2 linked regions of the Schizosaccharomyces pombe genome follow. Changing the gene in region 1 together with any one later gene gives a genetic interaction. Each region holds a gene or a part of one and is shown in the gene's direction. Other genes may lie near its edges.

Region 1 (3,932 bases):
TATTAAATGTAGAAAATGATAACTAAAGAAAAGGGTTTAACCGAGAGTTCTTTTTGCCTAAATATGTAAAAGAACGAATGAAAAGGGAGAAAGGAAAGTAAAAATTGAACGAATGAAGAAATAACTCATGCACTTGAAGATGCTTTTACGTGAAATTAACTCCACAGAAACAGCATAATGGTAAATATGAAAAAAAACATGACTTTAGATAACAAATAACCAAAATATTTTGTTTTCTTTGACGAACGACTCAATGTATTTGAGCTAAAGGAAGCAGACAAAAATGCACACAGTAATATCCTAGTGTGCTAATGAAAAATCTAAATGACATGAAAGGCTTTGGCCTTAAAAAAAATTAACAATTTAGGAATATAACAACCCACGTTTGTGTTCACCTAAACGCATCCCACGTTTCGGAGCAGCTTGAGCCCAGCTGTCTCGTCTCCTTAAACCAGCAGTTGGAGTTGCGATTATAGTAGGCTTAGAGGCCGTACTAGCATAATTAGCATACAACGTATACATGTACGTTGGAGATGCAAAGACAGTCGAGGTGGCAATGGGAGGACCTGCAAACGTGGTAAATACGGAATAAGAGGAAGTTTCCCATAGCGGTTGTATGTCGGTCGTAGCAGCAGTAAAAGTAGAATCTGGTCGATTTTGAATAGGTCCTGTACGGAGAACACCGGTAGTTTGAGATAGATACCAATCTCGCATTGTACCTGTAGGCCATACACCAAGAAAAGTGCTAAAACCAGTAAGGGTAGGAACATAAGGATACACACCAAGAGCCATCAAAGACGCATAAATTTCGTAATTATCAAAAGTTCCTGTTAGACCATTAACAGTGAAAAAGTCAGTATAGTCATTAACTATACCACCAGCATATGTAGATTGTGCCCAAAGAAAGTAAAGACGTCCAGCTGGTCCAAAAACCTGAGAAATAGCGAAGGGTCCAGCTTGGGATATAGAAGAAGGACTAGGGGACGTATACAAGACTGCACAAGGTTGAGGAGCATCCATGCTACCACTACATATATAAAAAACTGTGTTGGTTATGTCCTCAAGAGGTATTCCCGTATTAGATTCTTCCCATGAAAACGAAATAGCGGTAAAATCCATACTATCTGTTGTCGCCGGAGTGACGAATCGAATTTGCGCACATACATAATGTATGTATGAGCAGACTAGCAATACTAGCATCAACATGGTGGTTTTCATTAAATTCGACGGCTTGAAGAGACTTTGCAAATTTAGTGGTAAGCGATATATATAAATCGTTGCTCTGACAACAGGGATGTATATCGAAACACCTTATTTGACATGTGTAAACAAATAATCGAGAAAAGTTGGTTTATTGTAAGCTAATAAAAGTGATTTTTTTATTTTTTTTTATTTTTTATTTCATGCAATAAATTTCGGCTTAACTCAAAAATATATATCACGAACAAGCTGGATATAGTTAACACTGAATATGTTTTAACCTGAAACCTCTAATTCAAATTCTCTTCAGTTTAGCAAGTACTTACAATTGCTCTGTAAATTTATGCCGACTAGTTTAAAGGCCAACATCTTGGGAAAATTATTGTAACGTTTGAGAATCTTTAAGTAAAGATCTATTTAAACGATACTGCTATACATTTGTAATATCAAATGCTAGTCTTGTACCAAAAGAATGAATAACATGCGAACTTACTGAATCTATGTCGTGAATATTATGTCTACTCTATGAAATAATTGCGTTAGAGCTGTCAATATATAGGCCCTTTACTACCAGATATGCTTACTGTCTGGCTGTATTCCTAATTCATTCGCAGAAATAATATATCATTTACAAATATCACAGTGGTTGCTCCAAAAGCATTCTTAATAACTGCTCACGTTTAGATTTGAGATTTGAAATATCAGTAGTGGGTACAGATTACACCACCACAATAATTTACCTTTTTATTATCCCACTTTTCATAATGTTTTTCAATATCAAAGCTTGTGAAATTTAATCGTTAATAAATCTTACAGGTCTAAAATTATTCAAACTTGTTTTATTTTCTTATTGGTATCATTTGCAACCTCATGAGTGACAAAGGAGGAAATTGTCCAAGGCAATACAGAAAATTAGGGACCAAGTTTTTTTTTTAGGACGAAAGAAATTCTAAAAGAAAGGAGATTAACATATTTTTTCGCTTTATTCGTTTTTCATAATTTATTCAACACGCGTTAATTGCTTAAAGTCGTTACAGTCAAAAATAATCATAGCATAAATTTTAAACAAAAATGGAAGAAGAAGAATCTTTAGAAGGAATTATTTCTATAGATGAGTCTTTGATAACCTCACGTTTATCGCAAATTCTCGATGATGTTTTAGACGATAGAAGTTCTTCACATTCTGTGGAAAAACTTAAAGACGTCGCTGTTAAATATGTATGTTTAAAAAGATATTGTGACCTTTCTAATTAAAATTCTAGTTGCAATTTTGTCAATTTCAGCCGACATTGCTCGATAAACTACTGAGTAAATACGTTCCAAACTTGGCTAGCTATTTACTGAAAGTGAAAAATATCGGAAAATGTAACTCAATTACCGTTATCCTTTACCAGTTTTGTAAAATAAGAGGATATAAAGCTGTTCGCGTCCTCTTTCCTGTTGGCGTTCAATATATTAAGGAATTATATACATTATTAAATGAATCATCAAATAATACCTGGCATTTTCACTACATAGTTTTACTGTGGCTTTCTCAAGCACTCAATACCCCATTCCCGTTAAATTCATTAGATGATTCCTTGGATGTGAAGAAGACCATTTACACTATAGCAATTAAATACTTAGAAAATTCGGGAATAGACAAAGAAGCTTCTTGTCTTGTTTTGTCCCGATTATTCTCTCGTGATGACGGTTTGGATTTACTTCTAGGCTTTCTACACCACTGTGAGAGTAGTTGGTTTAAGAGAAGTATCTTTTACAAAATTGGGTGTCTTTTTTCCTTATCTTCTTTTCTTAAAATTTGTCCGAGAAATGATTGTCTTCAAACAGTTGATGTTGCGTTTCAGTTTCTGAATGTAGCACGAGAAGATTTAGTTGGACAAGAAAATTCAGCGTTGAGGAAATTATTATGCAAATGTTATACAAGATTGGGAATTGTATTGCTGCCTGTAAATTCATCCCCTAATTGGAAATACTCGATCAGTAACCCAGATAGTTTCTTTCAATTACCTGATGACTCTAACGAAGAAGTACATATATATCTGGAGGTTATTGTTGATTTTTTATTGTCATCTGTAAGCGACATAGACAGTTTTGTACGCTGGTCTGCAGCCAAAGGGCTAGCCAAGATCATAAGTCGTTTGCCCTGGAATTTGGCTGAGCAAGTTATCGATGCCATTATTGAATTGATGACAGAAAATATGTTTTTAAACCCCATAGAAAACACTGTAAACATATCAATTACTTCTCCACTGGTTTGGCACGGAGCTATACTTTTCTTCGCAAAACTAGCAGGTGCAGGTTTAATTAAGTATAGTAAATGTTTACATATTCTTCCATTGATCGAAGTAGTAAGTACACTTTGTTTTCTTATATCATTCTAATCCTTATTTAGGGCTTATCATACGAAGTAAGATATGGAACTAGAGTAACAGGACAAAGCATCAGAGATGCCTCCTGTTATTTTGTTTGGTCATTTTATCATTGCTACTCTAAGTCAGCAATTGAAGGCTTACAAACGAATCTTATTTTATGTCTCTTACAAACGGTATTGTTTGACAATGAAATAAATGTGCGCAGAGCTGCAACTGCTGCTTTATTTGAGGTGATTGGCAGACACGCTTCTATTCCCGATGGGCTTTCTTTGATATCACATATTAACTATGTTTCTGTAACGGATATTTCAAATTGTTATGGTGACTTGTGTATGAAAGTAGCTCATTTTCCTCAGT
Region 2 (3,932 bases), on another chromosome or scaffold:
TAAATTTCGTATATAATGTGCTTCGTTTAGATCCGGATTTGCAAAGGCAAAAGCGAATTCTGGAGAGCATTATTTCAGCTGCCTTGAATATTTGCGTATCTACTGTAAATTTGAGTAGAACTGACTTAAAATCTTCTTTAAAAATAATTTTGCAAACAATTGATCTGTTTAAATATGACAGTTCATTCTCTTCTATATATTTTCGAAAAGATGGACCGTACCACAAAGTTGAAAAACTGCTGAAAAGCGCTAATATTCGCTCTTCACTTAATTCAAAAACTTTTAATGATTTCCGCACACTTTTCTTGCTTCTCATTAGAGATTACAGTCTTTTCCATGGAAATTCGAGCCATTGCATGTTAGCTAATTCTATGCTACCACCGTCTATTGCTTTTTCGAAGATGGAGAAGGCTGAAATTTTTTTACGTTTACGTGCGTTTTTTCAGCTTATGGAGCATATTGATAATGAAAGGATAACTCCATCTGAACAGTTTCTGGATAAAGTCTTTATATCTCTCCTTTCGGCTAAAAATAGCTGCTCTCTTAAAATGTGGCTCATTCACTCATTTAATAAGGGATGGCCGGTAAAAATTGAGTTTTTTGTTTCTTTTTTCAAAAATTTTTCCAATATAGTAGAAGGCTCTATGGAGGTCTATTCCGCATATTTACATATTATACGAGATCACTACAATTTATCTGATTTGGCTGACGTACAAGCAATTTTTCTTTCTCGTTTTATTTTATTAAGAAAGAAAGAAGATTGCAAAAAACTACTGGAGCATGTTTTACCTATTCGTCAGCTTTTTTTGTTAAATTGCTATAGCCTGCTAAATGTACTCGCTAATTACGTTGTCGTCTTTAAAGATCGTTTAATTTTTCAAGAAATAAATCAAAATTGGGAAGAGCATAAAGGCCAAATTCCGGAAAATTTTATTTTCTCTCTTTTGAAGATGTTTGGTGAAATGCAAGAGAATCAAGGTTTTTTGAATGCCTGTATTTATTATATAAACAAAAAGAAAAATTTAAACGAAGTTAGTCGTTATAAGATTAATTTATTATTACTACAAGGTGTGAATTCCTTCGAAGTAAAAGACTTTTACAGAAAACGAGGAATCGAAATAATGCCAAAAAACCTGCCCAGATTTTTTTGTTATTGTTTAAAAAAAAATAAATTAAGTTATGCTTTAAAGTATATACGGTTATCTGGGCTTCAGTTTGATTACATTGTTGATTGTTTCCGTAATAGCAGCGACTGGACCAGAACTCTGATTTCGATATTGAGCAAAAAAATGGGAACTGAATTCGCAATTCGTTTTTTAAAGATAATTTCTTTTCCTTTGTTATCAAATGACAAAGTTCTCCGAGAGATCGAATTTTTTGCCATTCACGAGGTAAATTTTAGAAGTCTCAAATGGGTTGCAGATCAACAATTGCGAATTCTCCCAGGATGGAGTTCTCGCCCCCAAAAAGCAACATTTCCTTTATGTACAGTTCATTTAAAAAAGTGATAATTCTCGATAGTGCTGCTTCCAATCTACATCGTGCTTGGTGCTTGATACATTTAAACGCATTGTTTGATAATTAATATATTCATTGGTATCAAGTTGTACTTTACGAGGTATGCAGCCAACAATAGATTATTTACATTAACATTGAGAGACTTAATAAAGCAGCACATTTAAAAATGAGATCGACATTAGAATCAAAACCCGTATAATAATAAGCAGTATTTCCAACTATTTTCCTAACAAATCTGATGCCATCTATATTATCACTACGTACTGAACACTTCTATGTCGCAAAGAAAAAGTGCGGTTAAAACTTTTTGTTGTAGATAAAAGACAAAATTTGAAAGAAACAAAAAACTTAAACTGCCCAAATTTTTATAGCAATCCATTTTCTTTCCCACGTTGATTAATAATGCATATATCCACTGGAATGGTTAGGGCTTCTATATCTAATACTTTAGTAACATTAACCATCGAAGGAAACAATGATCGATACCAAGTCATACTTGATAAAAACGTAAATGCAAAACAGTTTGTTAAAACGTGTTGGAGAAACAAAAAACCATTGTAAGATTGTTATTGACGACAAGAAACTAAACTATTAGAATTGTAAAAGAAGGAAAAATATTTGTAGACAAAGGATTCCCTTTTGATCCATGCAGAACATTTTTGGAAGCACTTTACGAAAAATATTCATATTCAAGTCCCCTACCTTCCTCTGTTGAATTTAAAAGTGGAAAACAGGTAGAATTCTGTGGTTTCGAAAAAATCCAAAGCAAGCAAAGAGATTTAAAAAGCTTGCGCGTTATTATTCTAGACAATTATAGGATTGAAGATATTGAAATAGAGTACGAGTATTCTAAAATACTACCTGGTATGTCACTTATTTTCAACTAAATGTTAACGGAATTTGTAGAAGTTATCGACTTAGATTTATCGAGAAATTTGTTTCATGAATTTTTTCCAATCCTTAAATTGTGTTCCCAGCTTCCTTCATTAAGAAATTTAACTCTAGAGCATGTGTTTTTGTTTATCTCTACACGTATATTCTAACTCTTTCAGTTCAAACTTATTTTCAAATTTTATTAGCTCAAATACCGTTCTTTTAATTCCTCATTTAACACAACTTTCAGTGAATGGATGTGGCCTAAACAGTAAAGATGTTCAATGGATTACAGAGACTTTTCCCAGTTTGGAAGTACTTTACCTTGAAGCAAATGAAATAATTTTATCAAAAGCAACATCTTTTAAAAATCTGCAGTTCCTTCAAACGTTAAGTCTTGCAAATAATCTCAATCTTTATAGTGCTGATGGCTATGCAGTTGATGTGTTCCAAGGGTAAGTATATTTGAGAAATACGAATTAGGTTTCTAATCTAAAGAATTAACAATTTGAATTTATCTTCTACCTCCCTCGCTGATGTTGCAGAACTACCTGTACACACTTTACACAAATTGACATTCCTTGACATATCAGAAAACAACATTAGGGATATTCGTTCTCTGGATCATCTTCGTACATTAGAAAACTTAAAGCACCTGCGTATAACACTTTCTTATTTTAATAAACCTACTGATATAGCTAAACTGCTGGTGATTGCGCGAATTCCTTCTCTTGTAAAATTGAATGATGTGAATATATCACCTAATGAGCGTTTGGATGCTGAGTTGTACTACACTTCATGCATCCGGAAGCTTGTGATTGATAATGAAATTAAGGATGTTGAAGAGCTTACGAAAATAGAGCCATTCTGGGAGGAAATATGGAAATCTCACGAGTTGCCAAGCATTCAATTCCATTTGGAAGCTTCAATCAATGACTGGACGTCTGGCATTCTTAAAAATCGCATAACAAAGGGCATCAAAATATCGTCAATTAACTCAGGTGCGACAATGTTATTAAAGCTCCATTATAATTGGAAACTGTTAGATATAAAAGCTTTAATTTCATACCACTTCGCAATTCCAGTACATACGTCTACTTTTGTCTTTGCTTCAAGCGAACGAGATGTAAGCTTCTCTCCAAAGACTGTCAGAGACGACCAAAAGCGTCTCTTTGAACTCCCTTTTACTTGTACTTTTATCGATGTATATGCAAAGGAAAGTGGAAACGTCTAAAGCCAAGTTATTACTTGAAGGACCAAAATCGATGCTCTAGTTTTACGGCTTCTTTTAAAATACAGAAAAATCTTTTTAGCGAACTCTTTTCTAGTATTATAGTTTACGCGATTAGTCATTAGAAGTTTTTTATATTTAATATTCAATAACTCTTTAAATATACTAATTCCATGTATATACCATATATGAAAAGTGCCTCTAAGTTATTTAATCGGTTCGACACAATTATAAAATTATTAAGAAACAAAGAAAACCAAAGCCAAAACCTTGAACCAATAGAAAAAAAAAATACACGTCAAGTGTGACA

Evidence for each region.
Region 2: of alp1 (region 1) and alp21, extra expression of one rescues a mutant of the other (dosage rescue), as found in Schizosaccharomyces pombe (one study listed by BioGRID).

Annotation. Positions count from the first base shown.
Region 1 is NC_003423.3:3,355,065-3,358,996, reverse strand, and holds the start of alp1 (tubulin-specific chaperone cofactor D Alp1), read left to right. Parts: upstream 1-1,949; 5' UTR 1,950-2,271; coding exon 2,272-2,418; intron 2,419-2,462; coding exon 2,463-3,551; intron 3,552-3,595; coding exon 3,596-3,932. Other genes in the region: knh1 (KRE9-like protein), read right to left, coding at 364-1,218. UniProt on the Schizosaccharomyces pombe protein: Has a function in the folding of beta-tubulin. Microtubule-associated protein that is essential to direct polarized cell growth and to position the nucleus and septum to the center of the cell during mitosis.
Region 2 is NC_003424.3:2,388,166-2,392,097, forward strand, and holds alp21 (tubulin-specific chaperone cofactor E), read left to right. Parts: upstream 1-1,770; 5' UTR 1,771-1,920; coding exon 1,921-2,075; exon of another isoform or gene 2,076-2,113; coding exon 2,114-2,382; exon of another isoform or gene 2,383-2,424; coding exon 2,425-2,524; exon of another isoform or gene 2,525-2,570; coding exon 2,571-2,846; intron 2,847-2,889; coding exon 2,890-3,625; 3' UTR 3,626-3,778; downstream 3,779-3,932. Other genes in the region: protein Cbp8, read left to right, coding at 1-1,508.